7 linked regions of the Xenopus tropicalis genome follow. The protein of the gene in region 1 interacts with the protein of each later gene in a biochemical or structural test. Links are inferred from orthologs where the notes say so. Each region holds a gene or a part of one and is shown in the gene's direction. Other genes may lie near its edges.

Evidence for each region.
Region 2: the proteins of chek2 (region 1) and ppp2r5a form a complex in vitro, tested with the Homo sapiens proteins (2 studies listed by BioGRID and IntAct, with this or other methods). The link is inferred for Xenopus tropicalis from reciprocal best matches to the Homo sapiens genes CHEK2 and PPP2R5A.
Region 3: of the proteins of chek2 (region 1) and atr, one has a biochemical effect on the other in vitro, tested with the Homo sapiens proteins (2 studies listed by BioGRID). The link is inferred for Xenopus tropicalis from reciprocal best matches to the Homo sapiens genes CHEK2 and ATR.
Region 4: of the proteins of chek2 (region 1) and ppp2ca, one has a biochemical effect on the other in vitro, tested with the Homo sapiens proteins (2 studies listed by BioGRID). The link is inferred for Xenopus tropicalis from reciprocal best matches to the Homo sapiens genes CHEK2 and PPP2CA.
Region 5: of the proteins of chek2 (region 1) and cdc25c, one has a biochemical effect on the other in vitro, tested with the Homo sapiens proteins (14 studies listed by BioGRID). The link is inferred for Xenopus tropicalis from reciprocal best matches to the Homo sapiens genes CHEK2 and CDC25C.
Region 6: of the proteins of chek2 (region 1) and cdc25a, one has a biochemical effect on the other in vitro, tested with the Homo sapiens proteins (5 studies listed by BioGRID, with this or other methods). The link is inferred for Xenopus tropicalis from reciprocal best matches to the Homo sapiens genes CHEK2 and CDC25A.
Region 7: of the proteins of chek2 (region 1) and ppm1d, one has a biochemical effect on the other in vitro, tested with the Homo sapiens proteins (2 studies listed by BioGRID, with this or other methods). The link is inferred for Xenopus tropicalis from reciprocal best matches to the Homo sapiens genes CHEK2 and PPM1D.

What each region holds. Positions count from the first base shown.
Region 1 is NC_030677.2:150,455,127-150,458,626, reverse strand, and holds part of chek2 (serine/threonine-protein kinase Chk2), read left to right. Parts: intron 1-907; 5' UTR 908-911; coding exon 912-1,143; intron 1,144-1,548; exon of another isoform or gene 1,549-1,668; intron 1,669-3,032; coding exon 3,033-3,157; intron 3,158-3,500. UniProt on the Homo sapiens protein: Serine/threonine-protein kinase which is required for checkpoint-mediated cell cycle arrest, activation of DNA repair and apoptosis in response to the presence of DNA double-strand breaks.
Region 2 is NC_030681.2:14,615,062-14,617,994, reverse strand, and holds the end of ppp2r5a (serine/threonine-protein phosphatase 2A 56 kDa regulatory subunit alpha isoform), read left to right. Parts: intron 1-395; coding exon 396-497; intron 498-2,280; coding exon 2,281-2,416; 3' UTR 2,417-2,433; downstream 2,434-2,933. UniProt on the Homo sapiens protein: The B regulatory subunit might modulate substrate selectivity and catalytic activity, and might also direct the localization of the catalytic enzyme to a particular subcellular compartment.
Region 3 is NC_030681.2:119,636,567-119,640,066, reverse strand, and holds part of atr (serine/threonine-protein kinase ATR), read left to right. Parts: coding exon 1-62; intron 63-169; coding exon 170-262; intron 263-1,266; coding exon 1,267-1,397; intron 1,398-2,302; coding exon 2,303-2,446; intron 2,447-3,500. UniProt on the Homo sapiens protein: Serine/threonine protein kinase which activates checkpoint signaling upon genotoxic stresses such as ionizing radiation (IR), ultraviolet light (UV), or DNA replication stalling, thereby acting as a DNA damage sensor.
Region 4 is NC_030679.2:26,550,958-26,554,457, forward strand, and holds the end of ppp2ca (serine/threonine-protein phosphatase 2A catalytic subunit alpha isoform), read left to right. Parts: intron 1-489; coding exon 490-579; intron 580-946; coding exon 947-1,108; intron 1,109-1,233; coding exon 1,234-1,352; intron 1,353-2,380; coding exon 2,381-2,453; 3' UTR 2,454-3,191; downstream 3,192-3,500. UniProt on the Homo sapiens protein: Catalytic subunit of protein phosphatase 2A (PP2A), a serine/threonine phosphatase involved in the regulation of a wide variety of enzymes, signal transduction pathways, and cellular events.
Region 5 is NC_030679.2:47,993,207-47,996,706, reverse strand, and holds part of cdc25c (M-phase inducer phosphatase 3), read left to right. Parts: intron 1-338; coding exon 339-494; intron 495-673; coding exon 674-772; intron 773-2,668; coding exon 2,669-2,848; intron 2,849-3,500. UniProt on the Homo sapiens protein: Functions as a dosage-dependent inducer in mitotic control. Tyrosine protein phosphatase required for progression of the cell cycle. When phosphorylated, highly effective in activating G2 cells into prophase.
Region 6 is NC_030682.2:12,723,567-12,727,066, forward strand, and holds part of cdc25a (M-phase inducer phosphatase 1), read left to right. Parts: intron 1-29; coding exon 30-68; intron 69-581; coding exon 582-618; intron 619-877; coding exon 878-976; intron 977-1,448; coding exon 1,449-1,568; intron 1,569-2,669; coding exon 2,670-2,801; intron 2,802-2,908; coding exon 2,909-2,980; intron 2,981-3,075; coding exon 3,076-3,228; intron 3,229-3,331; coding exon 3,332-3,427; intron 3,428-3,500. UniProt on the Homo sapiens protein: Tyrosine protein phosphatase which functions as a dosage-dependent inducer of mitotic progression. Directly dephosphorylates CDK1 and stimulates its kinase activity. Also dephosphorylates CDK2 in complex with cyclin-E, in vitro.
Region 7 is NC_030678.2:92,934,717-92,938,868, reverse strand, and holds the start of ppm1d (protein phosphatase 1D), read left to right. Parts: upstream 1-1,352; 5' UTR 1,353-1,690; coding exon 1,691-2,075; intron 2,076-4,152. UniProt on the Homo sapiens protein: Involved in the negative regulation of p53 expression. Required for the relief of p53-dependent checkpoint mediated cell cycle arrest.

The sequences.
Region 1 (3,500 bases):
TTTGTGTTGACACTTACTTTTAAAATTATTTGTATGCTTCTTTGAGTGTATTCTGACATCAGACAATACACTGCCATTTATAGGCTTTGTGAATTTGATTTTATACATGACCTTTAAGGCAGAACAACCTGTGCCAATATATTTCATTAAACATTGATAGGAAGAACTTACAATTGGGATGTTGTCCATTTGGGCCCATGTAAACTTGCATCAGGTTGGATGCAACTTTGTAGATCTCAGTCACATGTAATAACATTCTGTTGTAAACACCCTGATAGGCTAGTTGCTACATAGTTACATAGGGTTGAAAAAAGACCAGAGTCCATCAAGTTCAACCCATCCAAGTAAACCCAGCACACACAACCCACGCCTACCAATCTATACACTCACATACATAAACTATATATACAACCACTAATACTAACTGTAGATATTAGTATCACAATAGCCTTGGATATTCTGATTGTTCAAGAACTCATCCAGGCCCCTCTTAAAGGCATTAACAGAATCTGCCATTACCACATCTCTAGGAAGGGCATTCCACAACCTCACTGCCCTCACCTTGTGATGGATTGCTGCATATTAAGGCTTATTTGGTATATGCTGTGTAGAACATTTGAGGCTGCAGTCATTTAGGGTTCAATCTGCACTCCACTGACTCAAACTAGAATACTCTAAAAACACCAGATAGCCTGCGAGGCCTTAGTTCATCATTAATTGGGAGTGTAGCCTTGATTTCCTTACCAAGTGTGGAAAAGATAGCAGCCAGTGGTTTACAATAGTTCTATGATTGGGCCTATTGATGCATTGTGAATTTTATAAAAATGTTTGGCAAGCTTTTGTAGAGGGAAATCACCTATACAGTGACATTAAAGAATAAGCTACCAATATTCATTATTTTACTTAGGTAAATGATGTCCCGTGATACTAAAACAGAGTCTCAACAATCTCAGGGCACCTCAAGTTCTTCCTCCAGTGCCCCTCAATCCTACAGTCAGTCGTCTTCATCGGGTACATTAAGTTCTTTGGAAACTGTTCCAGTGCAAGATCTTGCGTCCATTCCTAAAGACCCTGAGATAGATGAGGATATTCCCCAGCCTTGGGGTCGTCTCTGGGCCCTTGGAAGGGGCTTTTTAAATCATGGTACATACTTTTTTTTCTTGGAAATATCCCAGAAATATTTTGTCCCTTATACCAGTATGACAAAACACTTTTGCAACAAAGGTTTGTTTCAATTTATATGTCGATGGGTTTTATACAGTATGGGGAAATGTATTCACTATTGCAGTCTATGGCTTTATGTATTATTTCTTCACATTTGTGAAACAAATTGTATAAATTAAAATTAGCCTTTCATCTGTGGCTATTAGTGCAGGAACTGTTAACCTGAAAATGTCTTTTCTTGAAGACAGATGTAAAATAAGCTCTAGGTTGCCTGTCTATTTTTCTCTTCGGCCTTTTATGTGAACTGCTGTCTGGCTGCTAGGGTCAGTGTTTCTAGTAAATGGAAACACACTGATTTGTATTTTTATTTTTTGTCCTGTTTAGGCCTTGTACTGTTCATCTTCCAGTCTGTCATTCAAATCACTGCCCAGTTTCTGGTGTCAGTGACTGTAGCAGCCAGACAGCAGTGTACGTGCCAAAATGGAGAGCTCCTGTACTAAAAAGGTAATAAAAATACATATTTTAGTTTGGTGTTATCTGCTTCTTACAGTGGTATGGGAGTATGGCTTTGAAACAAAAAAAGGTAAATTTCTACATAGAATGTTCGTACATACAGGAATAGGATCCCTTATCCGGAAAACCATTATCCAGAAAGCTCCAAATTATGGAAAGACCGTCTCCCATAGACTCCATTTTAATCAAATAATTCAGAATTTTAAAACTGATTTCCTTTTTTTCTGTAGTAATAAAACATTACCTTGTAATTGTTCTCAACTAAGATATAAATGACCCTTATTGGATGTAAAACAATCCTATTGGGTTTAATTAATGTTTTATTGATTCTTCAGTAGACTTAAGGTATGGAGATCCAAATTACGGAAAGACCCCTTATCTGGAATTCCATTGGTCCTGTTCTGGATAACGGGTCTTATACCTGTAATACCTAAATCAGTTTTGTAACTAGCCCATTACCTCTCAAAGTCTAAAATCTCTTAAAGGAGAAATTTTATATAAAGTTCATATTCAGTTATAATATTCATCCTCCCTCAAAATGTGAAATAATGCAGAAAGAAAGATGTTTTGAAAGAATTGTATGAGAGCTGCATATACAACCTCTCCAGTTAGAAGCCAGAGTGAAATAAAACATGGGAGTGTCGCTTCAGTCTCCCACAGGAAGTGGTCACAGCACTGACTGATAGGCTTTACTCAACAGCAGCAGGGAAAACCATTCCCTCCTTCTGTGTCTCTCTGCTTGTGCTGCTGCCAGGGGGGGGAGAGGAGAGAGTAGAGCAGGAACAGACTGCCTGTGACTCCCCCCCCCCCCCCCCCCCCCCACTTAGGAATGTGTGATCTAAACCAATCAGCAGGAAGCTTCCTCATAGTCTTACAAACTGAGCATGTACATTGGTTTTGGTGTAGGAGCGAGGCATTATGAGAACTTTGTTTACACAGTTCAGCGGGTTTTTTTTTGTCCTATGAGGCTTCTGATCATCTGAATGGGAGAAATATGGGGAGACTTAAGGGCACTATTGAGAAAACTGAAGGTATGCCTGCAGCTTGAGATTAACTCTTTATTAGCCTTTCCATCTCCTTTAATGGAAACTGATTGTCATCTCCTGCACGGGCAATTATCAGAAAATGCACTTGGCATATTTGGGCTGTAAACTGCCTCTACCAGTGTTAATAGGTAGTTTCCTTGAAACACAGTGACAGGCAGCAGCTATGTTTGGAAAGTTCTCCTCTGTAATCCATCTGCTGATATGAACCAAGTGATTGAGATAAGAAAGCTTAGCTAAAAAACTGTTTATTTTGATTAGCTTATGCTGCTGTTTATGTGTAACCTAACGGCACTTTTATTTTTTCAAAAGATTGCCTGCTTGAAGAATATGTATTTGGAAGAGATAAAAAATGTGATTACACCTTCGATATTCCAGTAATAAACCAGACGGAGAGGTACAAAACATACAGCAAGCGACACTTCAGAATATTTCGGGTAAGTATATCTTTCTCACTTTTCCTCATGCATTAGTCTTCGTTTTTTCTACATTTAACATAGCAAGGTCTACATATATTTAAAACCTTTGTTATTCTGATAAATAGCTGTAATTATCTAGCTTGCCAAAGCAGTAGAAAAAAAGTCCTGTGACTAGATTAAAAGCCAAAGCTAATCGAACATGTGGCATTTTTCTGCTTGCAGGGGCTGAAGTGGCTTTCCCTGTTTTCAATCTTTTGGTTTTTGTGATCCGAAACTGACACAAATAAACCAGCTTTTCTCTTTAGAGGGGTTGATAGCTTTTGTTCATGTTGCTGCCTGTTGTTAACAAGAAAGTGTTTAA
Region 2 (2,933 bases), on another chromosome or scaffold:
AAGCCACAATTTCTGTAATGTGTCTATGAAGATTTTCATTCATCCAGGTCATGCTATATCTAGTATAAATAAATTTAAAGCAACTGGACTTGTTTGGTAGCAATGTAAACATCTTCAGTGATTACCAAACAAGTCCAGTTGCTTTAAATTTATTTATACTAGATCATTTCTGTAATGGCTACACACCAGCTTTCACGTAGCCCCACATTCAAATGACAGCTGCACACTTTTTTTTGTTTTCTTAGTGATGTGGGTTTGGTTTGCATTGTGTATACGGAGACCAGTGCTCGGTGCAAATGTTGTGAGGTGCATTTGAATAGGGCAAATTTAGGTTTGTATAATGTGTTTTTGTAGTTTTACATGGATTCGGTTTGAACATCCCTTTCTTTATTTAGAACCATCGTAGCTCTGGTTTACAACGTACTGAAAACCTTAATGGAAATGAACGGAAAACTCTTTGATGAACTTACAGGCTCGTACAAAGCAGAGCGACAAAGGTATGCAAACACTGTTTATCGTCTCAGCGTGTTTGGTCAGTGGTAAAGTTTGCATTTCTCTGTTTGGCCAGAAATTTGCATTTTCACACTGTCCAAATTGGAAATGTCTTCATATGTTTTTCTTTTACGGTTGTGCACAAATAATAGCAAGGTTTTCCTGTGTCCAGTAGCCCATCACAGCCCCCCCCCCCAAAAAAACCCCTAACTACTGATTGATTGGTTGCTATGCAATTCACAGACCCCAGGAGAGAAATACAGTGCAGCACAAATGTGCTTTATATCCCACATGGAGTTGGTTTGCTTGTTGTTTGAGTCTACTTGAGTCTACTACTGCATAACCTATTGTATATATTGGCAAATCATATGCGCTTTATCAAGGCATTATATAATGCTATGCTCTATTCCTCTGATTGGGGGAGGCCTAGAGTGGGATTCAAAATAGACCCTGGCATTTCCAGTACACAGAGGCCCAAACAGCCCCCCATGGGCCCAATAAATAGTGACTGTCTATGGCATCTTACAGCAGCCCCTTTGGCATTTGCCAGAACCCACAGATTGCCAGTCCGGGCCTGGCAATCAGATGATTCAATTTGCTGTTAACTGAAAAGCAAGTGGAAGTTTAAAGGAATACTGTCATGGGAAAACACATTTGTAGGTTCAAGAGTAAAATGTTAAATGGCAGAGGGAATTATTTGCTATGTAAACAGCGTAATTTAGAAATAAAAAGAACCCCATAAAAATCATGACTTTTGTTTTTGTTACATTGTTTGAGGAAGGTTATTCATCTTTAAAAAAAAAAAAATTAGAATTTACTTTGGTTTTTGTGCTTCTATTTCTTGCAGCAGTCAGCATTTCTGAGCATCAATCGTCTCACACTCAAGGGCACTCACGAATGTTGTTCAGATAAGGGGGAGCAATGCCGGGCATTCCATCTCCCGCCCATGGAGCTTCTAATTCCCTGGGCAACAACAATGCCCAGCGTGATTACCCATAGAAACAGGGGCAGGTTTTAGGGCAGGGGCCAGGCCAGGATGGATAGGTTTAGCTATTAAAATGTGCTTAAGCTGTAGGGCTGGGACAGACGGGGAGATTAGTCGCCGCGAGACAAATCTCCCTTGTCGCGGGCTACTAATCTCCCCGAAATGCCATCCCACCGACTACAATGTAAATCGCCGGTGGGATGGCATATGCGGCCTTAAGAAGAAACTACGCCGATTTCGACTAATCTCCCCGTCTGTCACAGCCCTTAGTATAATGTAGAGAGTGCTATTCTGTGTCAGTTTGCAATTGGTCTTTGTAGTTTATTATTTGCGCTTTTTGTTCAGCAGCTCTCCCGTTTGAAATTTCAGAAGCTATCTGGTTGCTAGGGTCTAATTTAACCTAGCAACCAGGCAGTGATTTGAAAAAGAAACTGGAATATCAATAGAGGAGGCCATGCATAGAAGTATAAGTAATAAAAAGCAACAACGGCCATAAAATTGTAGCCTCACAGAGCAATAGTTTTTTGGCTGTCTGGGTCAGTGACCCCCATTTGAAAGCTGGAAAAGTCAGAAGAAGAAGGCAAATAAAAGTATAACAAATGAAGACCAATTGAAAAGTTGCTGAGAATATGCTATTCTATTACGTTAACCTAAAGTTGAACAACCCCTTTAATACAGTGAGGACTAAACTGTATAAGTGCTTGTAAATAAACATACAGACGTCTTTGCTTTCACTTTGCTGCCTCCCCAGACTCGCAAGTCAAGCGACTAATTGCAACGTTGTTTTTGTCTTTTTTTCCCAGAGAGAAAAAAAAAGAACTAGAAAGAGAAGAACTGTGGAGGAGGCTGGATGACCTGCTGCTAAAGAAAACTCTGGCTGACAAGCAGAACCCGGCTCTGTGTGTGCAGAACATACAGAACAATGCAAGTGCCAAATAAAAACAACATGACAACAACCTCTGCTCCGCAGGCAAATACTTTTAAACATGGCTTTGCCGCTAATGTACAGAAAGCAAGCAACCTTCTCAGTATCACATAAAGCCGACTCGTTGGAGGGACTGGCTGTTGGGGGGGCCGGTAGCGAGCATTGCAGGGCAATAGGTTACACAGGCCTTTCCCATAGCCGCTTTATAAACCCCGTGTTATATTTTTTTCCCAACAATTTTTTTCTATGTCCAGTCATTGATTGCTGGGGAGAAGAATTAATTTTTATAATCTGTAAAATAAGTAAAGTAATTCCGGGAGTGGTAAGAATTATGACTTGAATTCTTTAATATTATATATATATATTATATATTTTTTTTTTTTTTGATTGTGTTGCACATAGGTGTGTTAGTCTGCTATGTACATTTTTTATTTTTATTTTTTTGGCGTTTTACATTTTTTTTTCCTCAGTTGCAATTCTCCGTTTGGAGGTTCTTATCGAAACATTGGCACCTGGCACTACTGTTTCTAT
Region 3 (3,500 bases), on another chromosome or scaffold:
CATTCGCATCCAGTGATGATCCATATCAGGGACCTAGGACCATCACAAAGCAAGAAATAATGGTGAGTCTAAATGATCTCTTGCAAATGTAAACATTTTATATTTTGTATAACCAAATTGGTATGTTAAAATCACTCCTAATGATGGTTTATGTATTTCTTTTTAAAAGGCAGATTATTTGCAACCAAAGCTTTTAGGAATATTGGCTTTCTTCAATATGCACCTGCTGAGTTCCAGTATTGGCATTGAAGACAAAAAAATGGTAAGTAAATGAAGTTTTTTTTTTTTTTTTAACAGAATGAAACATTATATTTTATCAAAATAAAGCAGTCTAAAACTGTACAACTATAAAGATTTGCACTGCAATAGATTAAACCTATAAATCTCATGTTTTGGCACAATAATTCCATAAAGATGAATGTGCTGTTAGTGCCAATTTGAAAACCTCCCTGATATGGTCACCATCAGAAATAGAGAGTTTTATGTGGCAGAAGGATTCCCAAATGCCTCTTAGTAACAGACACATAAATTAGATTTGTACATAGTAACAAATGAGCCTCTCTGTCCTAGACATTTAGTTGGATTATTATCTCTGTATCTAGGCCATATTTCATTTGGCCAATTGGAAAGAGGACTCGGTAGAGGTAGATGAATATAGCTTAAGGAAATATAGTCATTTGGGTTTCTCAAGCTTCATAAAGGTAATAAAACTATGAGAAAAAGACTTCAGGACATAATATGTTCCCAAATGCTAAATCTAATCTTTAAACTAAAGGAAAGATTTCAACAGAAGGGAACATTGCATGCTGCGTTTTCATCTGATTGTCGAAAGATTACATAGCATGCAGCATTTTCATCCGATGACCCTTGTTTCTCACTGAATTGTCAGATGTGGATGGTTAAAGATATTACCATTCCACTTTATCTGATAAGAATTCACATTACGGCAAGAAGGACCACCTTTTGCACCATTCTTTGTACAGATGCTTTTGCTGTTTTGTGCAGTAGTATAAATAGTTTGTATATCTGACCAAATCTCCCAAGTCCTGCCTTAAGGCCTCAATAAATATTTCACTACCCAGTAGGATTGTTGGTAAACTTTATGGTCGCTCTATGTTAGAGAGAAGGGAAATCGGTAAAAAAATATCCGTTTCTAAATGTAACTATATACTTTTTTTTTATCTTTAATATTTATTGTTTTATAGCCACAAAATAAACATTTTACGTTACACAAAATGTAACTAAATACTTTTTTTTTTTCTGCAGGCCTTAAATAGTCTGGTATTTTTAATGAAACTGATGGGTCTAAAGCATATAAGTTCCGTTAGGGTTAAGATGATGACAACGTTAAGAACTGGCCTACGCTATAAAGAGGAATTTCCAGAACTCTGCTGCAGGTAATCTTATAAATGAATGTAAATTATCTTTAATATCGTTTCCTTGGACAATATTAATGACAATTTCCATTCTTCACAGCCAAAAGTACCAAGTTGCTCTGTAGACTAATAGTGAAAATCACAGCTCTAACAATTCAGTGAAGAATGATTCTAGGTTCTTTTACATTCTCTCCTTGCTTTAAAGGGGTGGTTCAGCTTTAAGTTAACTTTTAGTATGTTATAGAATATCCTATTCCTAGCAACTTTGCAATTGTTCATCATCGTTTTTTTTTATATGTATTTAATTATTTGCCTTCCCTTTCTGCCCCTGAGAGGCTATAAGTTTAATGTTATTGTAACTTTTTATTACTTATTTTCCTATCATCCTGTTCATATTCTAGTCTCTCATTTAAGTCACTGTCTGGTTGCTAGGGTTAATAAGACCCACTAAACTTTAAAATGTAGACCAGTTGCAAATTGTCGCAGATATCAATATCTACATAATATGAAAAGTTAATTTAAAGTCAAACTACCCTATAACTGTCTAACATACTATTAAGAATGGTTCTAGGCTTCTTTTGAAAGAAACCATTCTTAATTAGATGTCGGCTGTGATTTCCATTATTAGAAATATTATCCTTAAGCTTCAGTATAACAGTTCTTCTACTGGTCAGTTTTGAAGAAAAAAAGAATAGATCTTGCTTGACAAAACTGTTGTCTTAATAATTAAAGCATATATATATATATATATATATATATATATATATATATATATATATATATATATATATATATATATATATATATATATATATATATATATATATATATATATATATATATAGAGAGAGAGAGAGAGAGTATATATATATAAAGTATAATATGTATATTAAAAATATGTTTGTGTTTCTCCTGATATCATGTAGTGCATGGGACTTGTTTGTTCGCTGCTTGGATCCAGCGTATCTGGGCTCCCTCCTCAGTCATGTGATTGTTGCATTGCTGCCTCTGTTGCACATCCAGCCTAAAGAAACTGTTGCAGTGTTCCGCTATCTTATAGTTGAGAACAGGTATGGAAATAGTATTCTCAGTCAGTTTATATTTCATGATCTTCTTGAGCTTGAGTGTACACAAGGGGCATATTATTATAGTGTGTAAGCCAACATAACCAATCATGCTGCCCATAGCAACCAATTAGATCTTTGCTTTTGTTTTTTAGCTTGTGACCCTTCAAATCTAAATGCTGATTTGTTGCCATAGGCAACAACACCGGTGATGCAGGCTTACACATAATAATAAATGCCCCATGGACTCGACATGAGTTCTTTAAAAAAGTTACTAATACCAGAAATTAAACCTTTTTTTACATCTATCATAACATTGTGTTTGCATGCTATTTATAATTTTGCTATAAAAATATTTGCTCACTGCATTTCTGATCAGGTCCTATCTTATCTGATCGTCAGAAATGGGTATAGCCATTACCTTACTTTCCTAGGTGGCCACAGCCATGTGACTTTAGCTCTGATAAACTTCAGTTACACTTTACTGTTGCGCTGCAGAACAAAAGGAAGGTAGCAAATAGCAGCTACCTGACACTTCTGCAAGGATTCAGCTTCCTGAACTGGTGTGTCTCCATGGACTTTTAGTAAGTTGGTAAACAGCTAAAACTGCCTATATTGTCTCCCAATAATTTAGGGTGTTTTAGTCATTTCTCTGCCAACTAAAATACACTGTAAAAAAACTGCCCCATGTGCTATTGGCCTCAATTAGCTTGTATAGTAAAGGATCTATAAATATATACATACAGTGTGCACTTGCACTTGTAAATAATGGTACATTAACTTCTGTGCTGTGGAGGGCAGAAGTAGAAGGCACCCAGAATATATTAAATGCAGTGAGAAACAGAGGGCAGTGGCACCCAAAATACATTAAATACAGCGAGAAGCTTTAGTCCCCAATACACTAAATACAGTGAAAGACAGTGATTTCTAACAGTCACGACCCCCTTACCCTTACAAAATGCAGGTGTCCTGGGGGCTGGAGAGGATTCTAGCATTGTAGAGTTCAGAATAAGTCTGTAGTTGGGAATCTGATCAGCTATTATCCTGGCTTCTGCTTTAA
Region 4 (3,500 bases), on another chromosome or scaffold:
GAAATAAGGATTCTCTTAAAGGAAAACAATACCCCCAAACAATGTAGGTCTCTCTAAAAATATATTGCATAAACCAGCTCATATAACCCTGCTTCATCTAAATAAACCTTTTTCATAAAAATATACTTTTTTAGTAGTATGTGCTATTGGGTACTCCTAAATAGGAAATAGCTATTTTAAGAGTTAAGGGCCACCCCCTGGGATCATAAGATTGACGGTGCACACGTACATGCTAGGCCACATCAGCCAATTAATGAACAAAGTTCTGCCTTTTGCTCCCACACTACTTCCTGTTACAGTTAGAGCTGCATTATCTGAGGGGGCACACAGCCCATCACTAAATGGTGGCTCAAGGGAAAGGATGTAAAAGGGCAATATTTACCGATATATATTCAAGTTGTAATTTAAACACTTGGTTAATTGTGTTTTTAATACTATTACTGACTAATAGGAATGTTATGATTGGTGCTTTTCTTTGTGTCCATCCAGATCTTTTGTTTGCACGGAGGACTGTCTCCTTCAATAGATACACTTGATCATATACGGGCCCTTGATCGCCTTCAAGAAGTTCCACATGAGGTCAGTGTTTGAAAGAGGGTACAGATTATATACACAAATCAAAATGTCATGGTATAAATGTTATGTTTTTAACTGGCAAGACCTAATGTCTGACATTAGGCATAGGAGGGATGTACACTTGAATGTACACAACTAGTAACCGTTACTTCCATCTTGAAAAGTTTTGTTAAATTAGTTTAATTGCTGTGTGATCTCCTGTGATGTGTTCAGCCATCTTTTTATCTAAACCTAGTTCCACATATTAGTCATAACCTGACACACAAAAATACTGAAATGTTGAAATGTAGGCCTGGCCCTACATGAGGTAAAAATGAAGGGGGTCAGGAGAATTTGATTTTTACTAATATTTTATTTTTTTTCTTTTAAGGGTCCAATGTGTGACTTACTTTGGTCTGACCCAGATGATCGTGGTGGCTGGGGCATATCACCTCGAGGTGCAGGTTATACATTTGGACAGGATATATCTGAAACATTCAACCATGCTAATGGCCTTACTTTGGTTTCAAGAGCCCATCAGCTAGTGATGGAAGTAAGTTGTTCAAAAAAAAGTCACTGTTTTATGTGCACTTAATTTTGTTTTAGTTTATGAAGTAGTTGTATTTCAAATCCATTTTAGTTTCTAAACATAACTATTTCTCTCTCCAATCTCATTAGGGATACAATTGGTGCCATGATCGGAACGTAGTAACCATTTTTAGTGCTCCAAATTATTGTTACCGCTGTGGCAACCAAGCTGCAATAATGGAACTTGACGACACACTAAAATATTCATTGTAAGTATCCATTCCATTTTTTCTTATGTGGTTATGTAGCTCTAAAATATTATAATTATAATAAAATAGAGAGAAGCTGACAGATTGCTACATTGCATGTGCATAGTTATACTAGGGTTGGTTTCATCAGGAACAAAAATAACATAGTTGCGCATTTTCATATGGATAAACAGAACTCAACTGACCTATGTATGTATAACTTTATTTATAAAGCGCCACAAGGGTACGCAGCGCTGTACAATCTTACAGAATACAAAATTACACACAGGGAGCACAAGTGAAATAATAAATAAATACAGTAAATATATAAAGTGCCATGTGGTATGAAACACAGTGCCCCGTAGAGCTTACCAATGCTTGTTTAACTTATATGATACCACATTTATGATTAAGTGTAAACATATTCTGTTGTGATGTACAATAAGTATGTGTATTCAATCAACATGCAGGTTACATACATAAATACAATTGATAACTAACAGCCAATCAAAACTGTGTTCCTAAATAATTCTTGGCCACCCAGATATAGCAAAGCAAAACCATTATGGTTTGGTGTGTTTATGGCATTCAAGTTAGCTGGGTCAGGGGAACATTTATTGGGTACATGGAGGCCAATGAAGCATGCAAAAGAATGAAAATGACTTTGCTTCAAAGAGTTAAAAAAAAAAAATTGCCAAGTTGGTATTTTATGTCTTTATAAAGTGGTAGAATACCCTGCCCAAGTGATGCTGTGACGGTAGCTTCTAAAAATGCTATGCTGAGTTCCTGGATGAGCATGATACCCAAGGTTGATTATCCCAGATATGAGTGAAACGCAGTAGACACTGGCAGAGAATTGCATTTTAAGGTGTATAATGTTGAAACCTTTAACAATGTAGATTCCATATTGCAATTTGGGAGACCTGGGAGAATGTAAGAGATCCTTCGTGTTACTCATAATCATTTTGGAACAATTTTGTTGTCATTTTCTGTTCTTTTCTGTTTAGCTGCTTTCTGCTCTTACCCTATATTTGTACATTACTTTTCAGCTTGCAGTTTGACCCAGCACCACGCAGGGGAGAGCCACATGTGACCCGTCGCACACCCGACTACTTCCTGTAAACAGAATTTTACTCTTGTACAGTATTGCTACCAGCAGGATTTTGTCATGAGATCTCGGAAAAGCAGCAGTAACTTCAAATTCAGGGGAGCGTTGTCACTTATGTACTCTTAAATGATGGACCAAAAGATGTGCCATAAAAGCCTCTTGTTTCAACAGCCCGTGACCACCTTAGAGACCCTGTCCTTGCATGCTGAAGTGGCATTGTCTGTCAAAGAGAAAAAAAAAAAAATCTGTTTCCTGGCATAGCACTACTTGTAGTACATTTGCTTTCTCGGAGAGACTGCAAAAACTAAAACATTAACAACACGTGAATACAATAACTCCAGTTAGCTATAGCTCTACCTGGCATGATTATAGATAAGATAGAAACAGTCGGATTAACCCCTTCTGTGCTGCAGGGGAGGCAACAGCATTCTGCTGTCTTCTCTGGTGTGAAGGGGATACATGGACGTTTTTAATCAATGCGTACCAAGGGCCCTGCTGCCTTTATTGTGACTTCAGATATGTTTATTTTCAGGGAATACAATTTAATTTAAATTTCATATGCGCTTACTATTTTTTTTTCGTTTCACCCTTCCGCATCAATTTTCAAGTCTGCGACTGTTTTATTTTCTGTAGTTAATAACAAATACATCTGTACCGGAACCAGATCTTCTGTAAGACTTTGCTGCAGGACAGTGCAGCAGTATCCTTTCTTTTTCCCTTCCCCCATAATAAACTTGTGAACAAAGTCCTTATAAATGTGAACTGTCAAATTTTTTTTTTTTTTTTTTCTCGCTGACATCATGGGGCAGGAATGTGTTGTTAGTGTATTAATAACTTGACTGTCTTCCTCATCACTAACAAACATACAGTTATGGAGTCCAATTAAAGCAATTCTAATTTTTAAAGATAATTTTCTTTTTCTCTAATAATAAAACAGAACCTTGTACTTGATGGTAACTGAGCTGCATGAATCCATATTGGAAGCAAAACCATCCTATTGGGTTTAGTTAATGCTTAAAGGATTTTTGGCAGAATAAAGGTGATCCAAATTATGGAAAGAC
Region 5 (3,500 bases), on another chromosome or scaffold:
AATAACTGATGTACATGAAGTACAAAGTTTTTGAGACTTTGCAGCCTATCCCATTTTATAGTGTCTGATTTTCAGCCTGAGATGAGTTAACTACTGATGTTGTTGTATTATATTTTCTTGGGACTGTTATAGGATGATTTTTTTTATTAGTTTATTCAGCTTTATCAGTTGACACAAACCCATTTTAACCAAGTCAAGTAAATATTTGGTAATATTATATTCTTAAGTGGGTGCTGTCATGTTACTGCATCCAAGAACTAATTCTAGCCTTTCTGTGTCAAACATGTCAGAGCAAACACATGGGAAAGAACAAAGTGCTTATAGTTGTGTCCTGGCAGGTTGATATCTCCCTAGACGAGGATTGTGAGATGAATATCTTGGGTTCCCCAATAAGTGCAGCTGCCCCTTGTTTGGAGGGACCACATGATGACATCAAAATGCAAAATCTTGATGGATTTGCAGATTTTTTTTCAGTTGATGAAGAGGAGATTGAGGTTAGTATTTTTGGCTTTCTAGTAACAAATTGCAGTGTGTAGAATGCACTCGTATATTTTGAATGAGCTACTGGAGCAACCTTTAAACCCTGCGTGCTTGTTTTAGTAATAAAGTGGATATATCTTATAAAGATCTATTCCTGGTTTTTGCTAATACATTGTTTCCATTGTGCATGTAGAATCCCTCTGGAGCTGTTGGTAACTTGTCCTCTAGCATGGCAATTCTTCTGTCAGGACCTCTTTTAAATCAAGAAGTAGAAGTCAGCAATGTAAACAATGTAAGTAATTTAAAGGGAATCTAAATCTAAAACCCAAAAATGTATATAATTAATTGATATACACTTACTCAAGGTGCTTCTTTGAGCAATTCTGCAATTTTAAGCTCATTTTCTATTTTTAGTAGTGTCTGAGCATTTTTAGCCTGTTAATGCCAGGCTTTTGACTCAACTGACTGTTGGCAACCCTAGGGTTAACTAATTCTGCACGATTTACAACTATTTCTTTGCCCAAATTCAGTATAGTTTTTGTGAACATGGAAACTATTTAGTGACCTCCTCTGCTAGTGGAAAAATTGAGAGTTTTATAATTTGCTCCTGTGTGCAGTGTACGTTTTAAAACTTCCTGCTGAAGTAGTTACTGTTTTTGCAACAAAGTAGCATGTCACCATTAAGTAGACAACAATGTGCAATTAAATTAGCATTTTTTAACACTGCCTAGTAAAGAATATTACAGTGTGAAATTTTTGTTCTTCATGCATTTTTTTTCCTCTTTACAGAAAATGTACAGAAAATAATTTCGTAGAAGATTAATTCAAATTGCAATATTGCTCAGAGGACCACTCTGAATAAATTTACACCATTTAATTTTCCTTTACGAAACAATCATCCCAGGAATATTCTGTAACCTTGCCTTTTCTGAATTAGTTGAAGTTTAGACTTAAGGATGTGAAACGTATAAACTCCACATCCTTTTAATGAACTGAACGCTCTGTGTTGATCCGTTTTGTTCCACAATATACATCGGCCAAGTGAAAAATACAAAGTTCACTGGAAAGCAAAGCAAGTGCAACTTCTGTGTAGTTGAATTAGAGATGCATAGCACTACATGTTTTAGACCTCACAGGTCATTCTTCAAACAGAAGAGATTCATAGTACAGGTATAGGACCCATTATCCAGAATGCTCGGGACCAAGAGTATTCCGGATAAGGGGTCTTTCAGTAATTTGGATCTTCATACCTTAAGTCTACTAAAAAATCAATAAAATATTAATTAAGCCCAATAGAATTACTTTGAATCCAGTTAGGATTAATTATAATTTAGTTGAGATTAAGTACAAGGTACCATTTTTATTTTTACAGAGAAAAAGGAAATACATTTTCAAAATCCAAATTATTTGATTAAAATGGAGTCTATGGGAGACAGGCTTTCCGTAATCCGGAGCTTTCTGGATATTGGGTTTCCGGATAACGGATCCCATACCTGTACTTGCTTTGCTCTGCAGTGAACCTTGTTATTTTTTATGGTAATGCAACGGGAACCTGGTGAACCCAAGCCACTGTTGGTTTGAGCACCTGACATACTTCAGCAACTTCAAATAGATGTTTATGATTTGACACATTAAGTGAACCTGCTCTGCTTAACAAGTTCTATGGTGTGCTCTGTTTTTCTGCTTTCTTGTGTTCAAATTAGTAAGCAGCACTTGATAGTATCCACTAAATTCTGCATTTCCCCTATACTCTTTCTATACAAACCTGATAAACATATGGCCTACTGTCAAAAACTTTGTTTTGCAGTAATCATTCCTTGGGTGGCCTTTGCCATCTTTCCCCAATGTTTTTCTTTACTCTGTGGCTTCTTATAGTTTTCTGTCCTAAAGAAGGGCAGTTAGATCCAGATCTTTGCTGTAGGAGAACACATACAGAAACTTACCCTTCCTCGAGTGCCAACACACCTAGTTGTCCTGTTGCTAGAAGTTGTTTTTAGTTTTACATCAGTGTGTTTTAACTGTTGTGTACTAGGTTTCCATTTATTTTCCAGTTAAATTCCCCTTTAGACATATGACACACAATAACATCCCAGCCTCCCTGTCAAGTGATCAGCATAAAAATATATCTTATTTCTCAGCTGTAATCTACACAGATTAAATACCACTAAAATAATTTACTCTTAAACAGATATCTTTAAACAGAAGCCGTCTTTACCGCTCACCATCTATGCCAGAGAAACTTGACAGGCCGATGCTTAAACGCACAGTGAGGCCACAAGACAGTGAAACACCTGTCAGAATTAAAAGGAGACGCAGTACCAGCAGCCCCCTTCAACCTGAGGAAGAGAACTGCCAACCAAGGAGGAGGGTAAGTCATATTCTGAAGTGTTTGCACACATAAGATAGCAAAGGGTGGGAAAACCTGGTGTGCAAAGCATACCAGTGGCATTTTCTTGCTCTTTAACTTTATTACACTATATTAGATTGCAATAAATATGGCAATGTTGTCCAATTGTAGTATCAGGGGCTGGAATTTTTCTGGCCTATGTGGTGGAGGGCAAATAATGGAAGCCAGTTGTGACCACTCACATTTTTTAAACCATAGAGTATGGTACACACAGGCATCGTAGGGCAGGCAGAGTAGGGAAGGAGACAGGGAAACCTATAATCTGTAACCTGATCATGGCCACTCCAACATGAACAGAGTTTGTACTGTACTACATACAGTGACAATGCCAGCACTCCTCCTACAGTCTGTCTGAGGTGTGAACAATGTGGGAGCCTTCAGTCTGAGCCTGAGGTCTTACAGGTGTGAACAAATAAGGGACTTACAGTTGAGCACAATACAAGGGCTTACAGCCTGGGCAATGCAGGGACCAGTTAATCTCAGTACTGATACCATTTAAAGCTTACACAAAGATAAGCAGCCAGACATGTGTCACTCGGGAGGAAATTCAAAAGAGACTTGAACATGTAAAGGTAAACAAAGGTCCAGGACCGGATGGGATTCATCCCAGGGT
Region 6 (3,500 bases), on another chromosome or scaffold:
TTTAAAATGCACTTTATTCTCCCTCTTAGGTTTCAGAAATCGACTCAGAATTCTGACAGGCTTGGACAGTAAGTATGTTTGTTAAAGATACAGTAGTGGGAATCATGGTACCCTGGTTAAACTAAGCTGAATTTAAAGAGAATTTCTGTAGAAATACAAATGGCTGCAGGAAGAGTATCCTTTCTTTGGCTGCTGACCCCACCCACTTCTTTCCCCTTTCCTGTAAGTTCTGTGTAATCATTCACAAACCTGAGGAAGCCGAGGGACCACTGTCTCAGGCTGCCCACCAAATGTCTGCCCACTTACAGGCTAATCTAGCTTACACAGGCAGCCAGTGTCCCTAGGCCAGTATGCATGCTGCTTTGTCTGAGCAAGGGAGTAGAATGCCGTGAAAAGACCTGCTTAAGTGACGCACTCCATTCCTGCCCCAGTGGGGTCACAAACAGAACATGCCGAGGTTGTAGATAACTAGGAGTTTACAACTTGCACCAAAAGTGTCATAGTTCTGACAATGTAGAGATTTTCTTGCTCATCCTCCATTGATCTTTTCACATATCAAAATGGTGTTTTTGTCTTTCTAGCACAAGGTTACCAATCAAAAGGAGGAACTCCCTGCCGGTGAGTTTTATATTAAACTATCTCATATACTGGTACCATCTAAACATTGATATGGTTGACATCAGTAGCATTAATTGTGTAACATACCAGTGTTAGTAGTGCTGTACACACTGACCTTGTACTGTAGCTGCTCATTCCTTTTCGGCTGCTGAATGAGTTGTTTTTGTCCCACAGCAGTGATGGCACAGTCGGTGTGTAAGGGGGACATTGCAGCTGGTAACATACCAGTACTTTAACCCCCTTCCTTTTTTCCATTCAGCAAAACCTACTGGGATCCAGCCCTGCCTTTAAGAGGAATCTCTCTTACTCTCTAGAATGTGAAGTGTTCCACGCAGCTGACCTGGAGAACAAGGAGAATGTAAGTACTAGTTTATTATCAAGTCATTCAGGAAAAGAAAATGCATTTGAGACATTTAAATATTATTCCCAGATCCGTGTAATAACAATTTGGCAAATTTAAATGGACATAGAATCATTTCTAAAGCTCTTATATAGCATTGGATATCAATCAACTGCTATTAAACCCTGCCCTGCCTGCTAAGGTGTTAAAAGGCTGCAAAGCAGGTAGTAAATGGCACAGTAGCATCTTGAACTATGTGCCACAAGGGCCCATACACTGGCCCATGGTAGTTGTGGCCTAGCAGGAGGACTGCAAGTTGAATTTGTCTGATTTAGATTAGCTGCAGCAAATGCAGTGTTTTAGTTTTGTCATTTTTGTGCTTACAAATCAATAACAAAATAAAGTCGGTTGATACGAGGTAAGGTTAATAGTGGGGGCTCCTTAAATCACCACAATAATGTGACACAATCACTGTGGGTTTCATTTGCAGGAAAAGTTTCAGTTTAAAATCCCAGCGAGACCGCGTTCCCGGGGCTGTTTCCGCTCAAGACTCCATGGGGATGGAAAGGAAAGTCTCGTTCAGAGACAGAAATCTGCACCTGCGTGTATGGTATGTGTCTAATCTCTTGTGCTTCCATAGCCCACTTATCCTTTTTCCAGATGTGTTTTCTTCTCAGTTTTTTATCTCCACATTTCTTTCTTCTCTCCCTTCTACTTCTGATCTTCTATTCCTGTTAATCTTGTGCTACTCCTTTCCCATTTTCCCTGTCTTTTTGCTTATTTTAAATCTGTTTCCTATTTCACATTTATTTTCCACCCTCCTATTTTTCCTCTCATCCCACCCTTTACATATTCTATTTGCCTCCCCCACCTCTGTTTGCATTTGTTTCTACCCACCCCCTCCAACTGAGCTTTCCTTCCCCCCCCTTTTCCCTGCAGTAATCGGACTGTGAGGCTGTCCTTTTTCTTCCAGCTTTTTTTAAAGTGATCACCCATACCAGCATGTCTGGCCTGAGATGCAAAATAGGCTCTGGAATTTCAAGTACACATACCCAAACAGCCCCCCAGAAGGCCAAAACATAGTCACTGTCTATGCCAGTGATCCCCCAACAAGCCCCTGTAAGCTGATAGTGTGCATAGAGGCCCCTAATAGCCAATCTTGGCACCTCCATGAACTTTTATGCTGCTTGTGTTGCTCTGTCTTTTTACATTTGACTGGCTCACGAGTAAGAAAGGTTGGGGACCCCTGGTCTATGCAGTGGTGTGACAATACCTTGCTGGACTCCCCTGCCCAAAATAAATCTTTGGCGGGGCCTGGCACATACTGAAGCCTGCCCACCCCTGATGCAGGCAGATGTGGGTGCACAATCTTTCGGTGCTATAGAGGAAGCCGACTCCGGTTCATGCCTCCCGCGACTGTGGGATCTGCTTCACTTACTGATAAACCACTGTATCTATGGCATCTTACAGCAGCTCTCATTTACCAAAATCTACAGATTGCCTGTCCGGCCTGCTCCATTTATAGAGGTAGCATGAGCAGTAGGATTGCTACAGGTATTGCTCAGGACACAGGAAAACTACAATCTCTTGCACCACATGTACATAAACTGCCCGACACCCTACTTTTTTTTTTTTTTTCTATTCCCTCTGCCCTGCTTTTTGCTAATTTTTATTTAACCTTTACACTAAATCAATTTCTTTGTTTGTTTAGCTGTCCTCTCCTAGGAAAAGTGAAGTTGCAGCTTCTGATATGGTCTTTGTCAGAAAATCCTCAGCTGCTTCCACTTCCACTGAGGGAAGTGATGATGGCTTCTTGGATATGTTGGACGGAGAGGACCTAGAGGTAAGCTGTTGCTGTTTTTACCGATGTACATGAATAAATCTGGATCCCAAGGTGGGTGCTATTATAAAGCATGCCATGGATATTAAGATGTTCTTTTCTGTTTGTAGAACGATACAGAGTTTCCCTGTGGTGTTGCAAGCCTATGGACGGCTCCCCTTGTCATGAAAAGCACTGAAAATGTAAGTGTTCCAGTCGTATGATTTACACTCTTTGCCAGTCTGGTTCCTGCCACATATCTCCTTCATCCTACTCCTCACTTCTGTATCCCCCTCAGTGTCTTGAGGTCCGACCTGCCTCTGAGCCAAACTGCACTACAAAACCAGCACTGAAACGAGTGGAGCGAACGCCGGACGAAGACGCGCCAGAAAAGAGCAAAAGGCGAAGGAGCGTGTCTGAAATTGCAAAGGAAGAGCTGGATCATGACAAAGTGAGTTCTCGGCTCTACCAAACATGCTGTTGGGGTTTTTCTACCCCTTCCCTTTAAGTTTGAGAATAACATTTCCCCCTTCTCCCTCCTTTTTGTTTTATAGAACTCAAGATTAATGCGATCAAAGTCCCTTTCCAGTCAGAACATAGAAAGTATGCTGGACAACGATCAAGTCAGTCTCATTGGGGACTTTTCAAAGGTATTTTATGTTTTCCCCCATGTGATGTTACGTTGTGTCCAATTTGAAATTAATTGCAGTTATGGACTGTTCA
Region 7 (4,152 bases), on another chromosome or scaffold:
AATGTTAAGCACCCCCAAGTGACTTAGATCGCTTACCTTGTACCCTGGGCTGGTGCCCCTGTTAGGAGAAAAAAGCACCAGCCCAGGGTACCTGTAGGAAGCGCTTCCTCCTTCCTCTCGGCGAAATCCGTCGGCTGGCGCATGCGTAGTAGAGTAAAAAGCCGGCTTTGTTTTTTAAGTTCGGCTTTTCACTCTACTGCGCATGCGCGCGCGGCGCTACATGAAAGAGGAAGCGCTCGCTGCTACCCCGGGCTGGTGCTGTTCTCTCCGTACAGGGGCACCAGGTGAGCGATCTAAGCCACTTGGGGGTGCCTAACATTTTGGCACCCCCAAGTGACTTAGCCTTTCCTTCTGCTTTAAAGCAGCAGTTCTCAACCTGTGGGTCGGAACCCCTTTTGGGTGTCGAACAACACTTTCACAGGGATCTCCTAAGACCGTCGGGAAAACATATATTTCCAATGGTCTTAGGAACCGAGACACCGCTCCTCTATGGTTGGCGGTCACCATAACATGAGGAACTGTATTCAATTGTCATGGCATTAGGAAAAGTTGAGAACCACTGGCTTAAAGAGCACTTATATTTGCCTATTTGTGTCTGTTAGTTACCCCTCCCATATAGATTGTAAGCTCTACGGGGCAGGGACCTCCATCCTCTTGTGTCCTCGACTCTTAACTTATTGCTGCTGTATTTATCTGTATTTATTATTATACTTTGTATTTATCTATTATCTTATTAACACCCTGTTTGTATTAATGTATTCTACTGTACAGCGCTGCGTACATAAGTAGCGCTTTATAAATAAAGACATACATACATATACATACATACAATTTCATCTTTTTCAGCAAAACTATAATAACACATAAAACAGGACCCTAAAACCCCCAGAAATGTGTTCAAACGTTAAGTAACCTGACAAATGTAATTAAATCTAAGTGGCTGCAAAAATTTGCGTGGTCAAAAAAAAAATCGATGTGCAGCGCGCAGCATTTATTTTTGTCCTTCTTTCCGTTTTCAAAATGTTGGGAGGTAAGCTTTATGGGCAACATGCAACCCTAGCCAAAACTTATCAGCTCTAAAAATAAACAAGTTATTAAAAGGAATTATTAGCACACACGTTATGCAATGTATAGTTGTGCTGTTAGTGGGATGCAGAAACTAAGATACTCTCGCTGTTCAAAAAGAGCAGAATCGCGCGCGGAGCTTACGCAATCCTTTCGCGTTGGGATTGCCCAAATCAAAAATGGAGACTCATGTTGGCCATACAGTATATTCTAGAACATTTCGGACGTCCGTACGGCCCCTCCGCCCTTATATTTCCGGAAGTAGAGCAGCTATCATAAACAACAGCTGTTGCCCGCCTTTACGATGGCGACGCGGGCTTCCTTCAGTGCTGACTTAGTGCGCATGCTCACAGGAATTGTAGGAAGCTTACACTGGCCGGTCCGCCTGGGTGCTCTACTTTGATGCTGTGACGTAGAAGGCGTATCGTCGGCTCCCGGACAGTGTTGAAAATAAACAATCAGAAGCGCGGTTGGCGGATTTTGAAGCGCTGAGCTTAATTAATCGATTTCTTGTTGACCCCCACTAAGCCGTTTGTTTTCTAAAAAGAGATTTTGTTAAGGTGGACTGATCACTTTTTGGAATTCTCCGGTCCAACCTTCCGACTTGTAACAAAGAAGGGGTGCGATGGAGACTCCATTCACCCTTCGGGTTAGCTTCTCGTCGGACCAGGGAGGAAGGAAGTATATGGAAGATGTAACTCAGATACTAGTGGAACCGGAGCCGGGGGAGGACGATCAACCTTGGTCAGAGGAAGAGGAAGGAGCGGGGACACCGGGTAGAAACTGCAGGAGGGAGCGTTCGAGTAGTCCTACTGGGGGCAGGCAGACTGTTGCCTTCTTTGCTGTTTATGATGGGCATGGGGGTCGGGAAGCAGCTCACTTTGCTCGGGACCACCTTTGGGGTTATATCACTAAACAAAAAGGCTTCATGTCCCGAGATCCAGAGGAAGTGTGCGCCGCCATCCGCAAGGGATTCGTGGCTTGTCACCATGCAATGTGGAAAAAGCTCCGTAAGTGTCATGTCTCGGTCTCTACCCCCCCTGGTTGCACATAGGAGGCGACTCTTAGCAACCTGCCGGTCCCTCGCTGCTGTTGTGGAATCAAACCCGCTGCCTGGAATTGCTGCGACTGGTAGCTCAACAGCAGAGAGCTCTGTCGGTCGGGGACACCCCTAAAAAATATCTATGTCCTATAGAACATGGGTTGGGTAAACACATAATTCTAAGCAAAACATACAATCATCAAAATATAATGCTTTAAAATATATTTTCATTGAAAGCAGTCTTTATCAGTGGTTTTCTGCTGATTCTGTCTCCTGAGAAAATGTAGCAGAAGTCAGCATTGCATTTTGCTTGACTGGTCTGTAAGCTGTTTGCTTCTGCTACATTGCTTTAAAAGTCAGAACCAGCAAGGCAGGCATACAAGGGTTCAACAGAAATTACTATACAAATAATCTTAAAAGTGTTTAAAAACTGTAATTGCGTTATATTGGAAAGTTAAGAATTCATTTTTCTTTAATGAGGACATTTTATTTTTGGGTATTAAAGCCCCCTTTAAAAATAATAAATGAGAAGATGTGGCCATAAGGTAGTCGTTCCATGTGGTGAAACGTAGGTGTTCTAAATGCAACAACGTTAAATATAATTTAATGTAACACCATTTTTTAACCCATTTAATGTCAGGTGATAACATATTCATACATTCATATATTTAATGTGAGTAGAAACAATTGGTCCATTGACTGTAAAACTGTATTTATTACATGAGTTACCTTTCAGGTGGGTCAGACTAGTTGTTGCTGCATATTAAAAATGTTAGGTAATGGGAGTGGAAATTAGACAGGAATGAATTTTGAGTGACACCATAGGGGCTTGTTTGCATAAGGCGTTTCTATATTTAACAGCATGTAATTTTTAGTACAGTCTGAACTTTTATATGTTTCTATTTTTGAGTTTCTACACTATGTTATGGTCTCACAGATATTTAGTAGCATTGTTAAATGTAGCAACTTAATCACGTGTACTTTGTTGTTAATGTGGTAGTTCACCTTTTAATTGTTTGATGTAGCTATTGATATTGAGACCAGTTTTTATTTGTTTGCTTTTTAAAGTACCTTTTTGTTCAGCAACTCTCAAGTTTGTCATTTCAGTAGTTATCTGGTTACTACTGTCCAATATACCTTAGCAACAAATTAGCCATTTGAATGAGAAACTAGAGACATGGGGAGGATCTGAATAAAACTGTAAGAATCTCAAAGTAACAATAATGCCTTATAGAGCAATAATGGTTATTTGAAAGCTGGAAAGTGACAGAAAAAGGCAAATAATTCAGAAACTGTACAGAATAAAAACTAGTATAACAACTGAAGAGCTACTAAGGATAGGACATTCTGTAATGTACTAAAAGAAAACTTAAGGCTAATGGCACAAGGGCCATTTTGTATATACACCAGCAGAGAATAGCTGAATAGCCTGTCAGCGCACATATAGAGGGGACAGAATTCAGCAGATCCACTTTTCTCAATTGGCGTATATACATGCTAGCAGAAAAACAACGAAAATGTGGTATTAGCCTAAATGTGAACTACTCACCCAAGTATCCACTATGCCAAGTTTATAGGCAATTGTAAGGAATGTTTTTGTTACAGCTGTGCATTGAAGCATCCCCTGCCTGTAAATATTTAATATAAAGGCTGGCGTTTATATTCAGTGTTAGACTTTGAGACAAAATCTTTTTGCATTAAGGGGTCCATTTACAAAAGTCTGTTTAATAAGTTTAAAATAAATTGTAAAAGTAGTAGCTAATAATTGAACTGTTTGTAAAGTGCTGATATAAACCTAATATGCAATTACCCTAACCTCCTATTCCCCTAGTTATAAAAGCAAGTACACCAAGATAACTTCTGTTTCTATACTTTTGTGTTACACCACTCTGGCCTTGATGAAATCCATTGAAATTAATGGGATCAGTGTACAAAGTGCTATAGATAACACAGATTTTTCTTTTTATGGGCTCTCTAACTGTGCACTTTTAAACACAAGTTTTTTTAGGTTGTCCACCTCTTTTAGGGAAAAAAGTTTGTCTGTT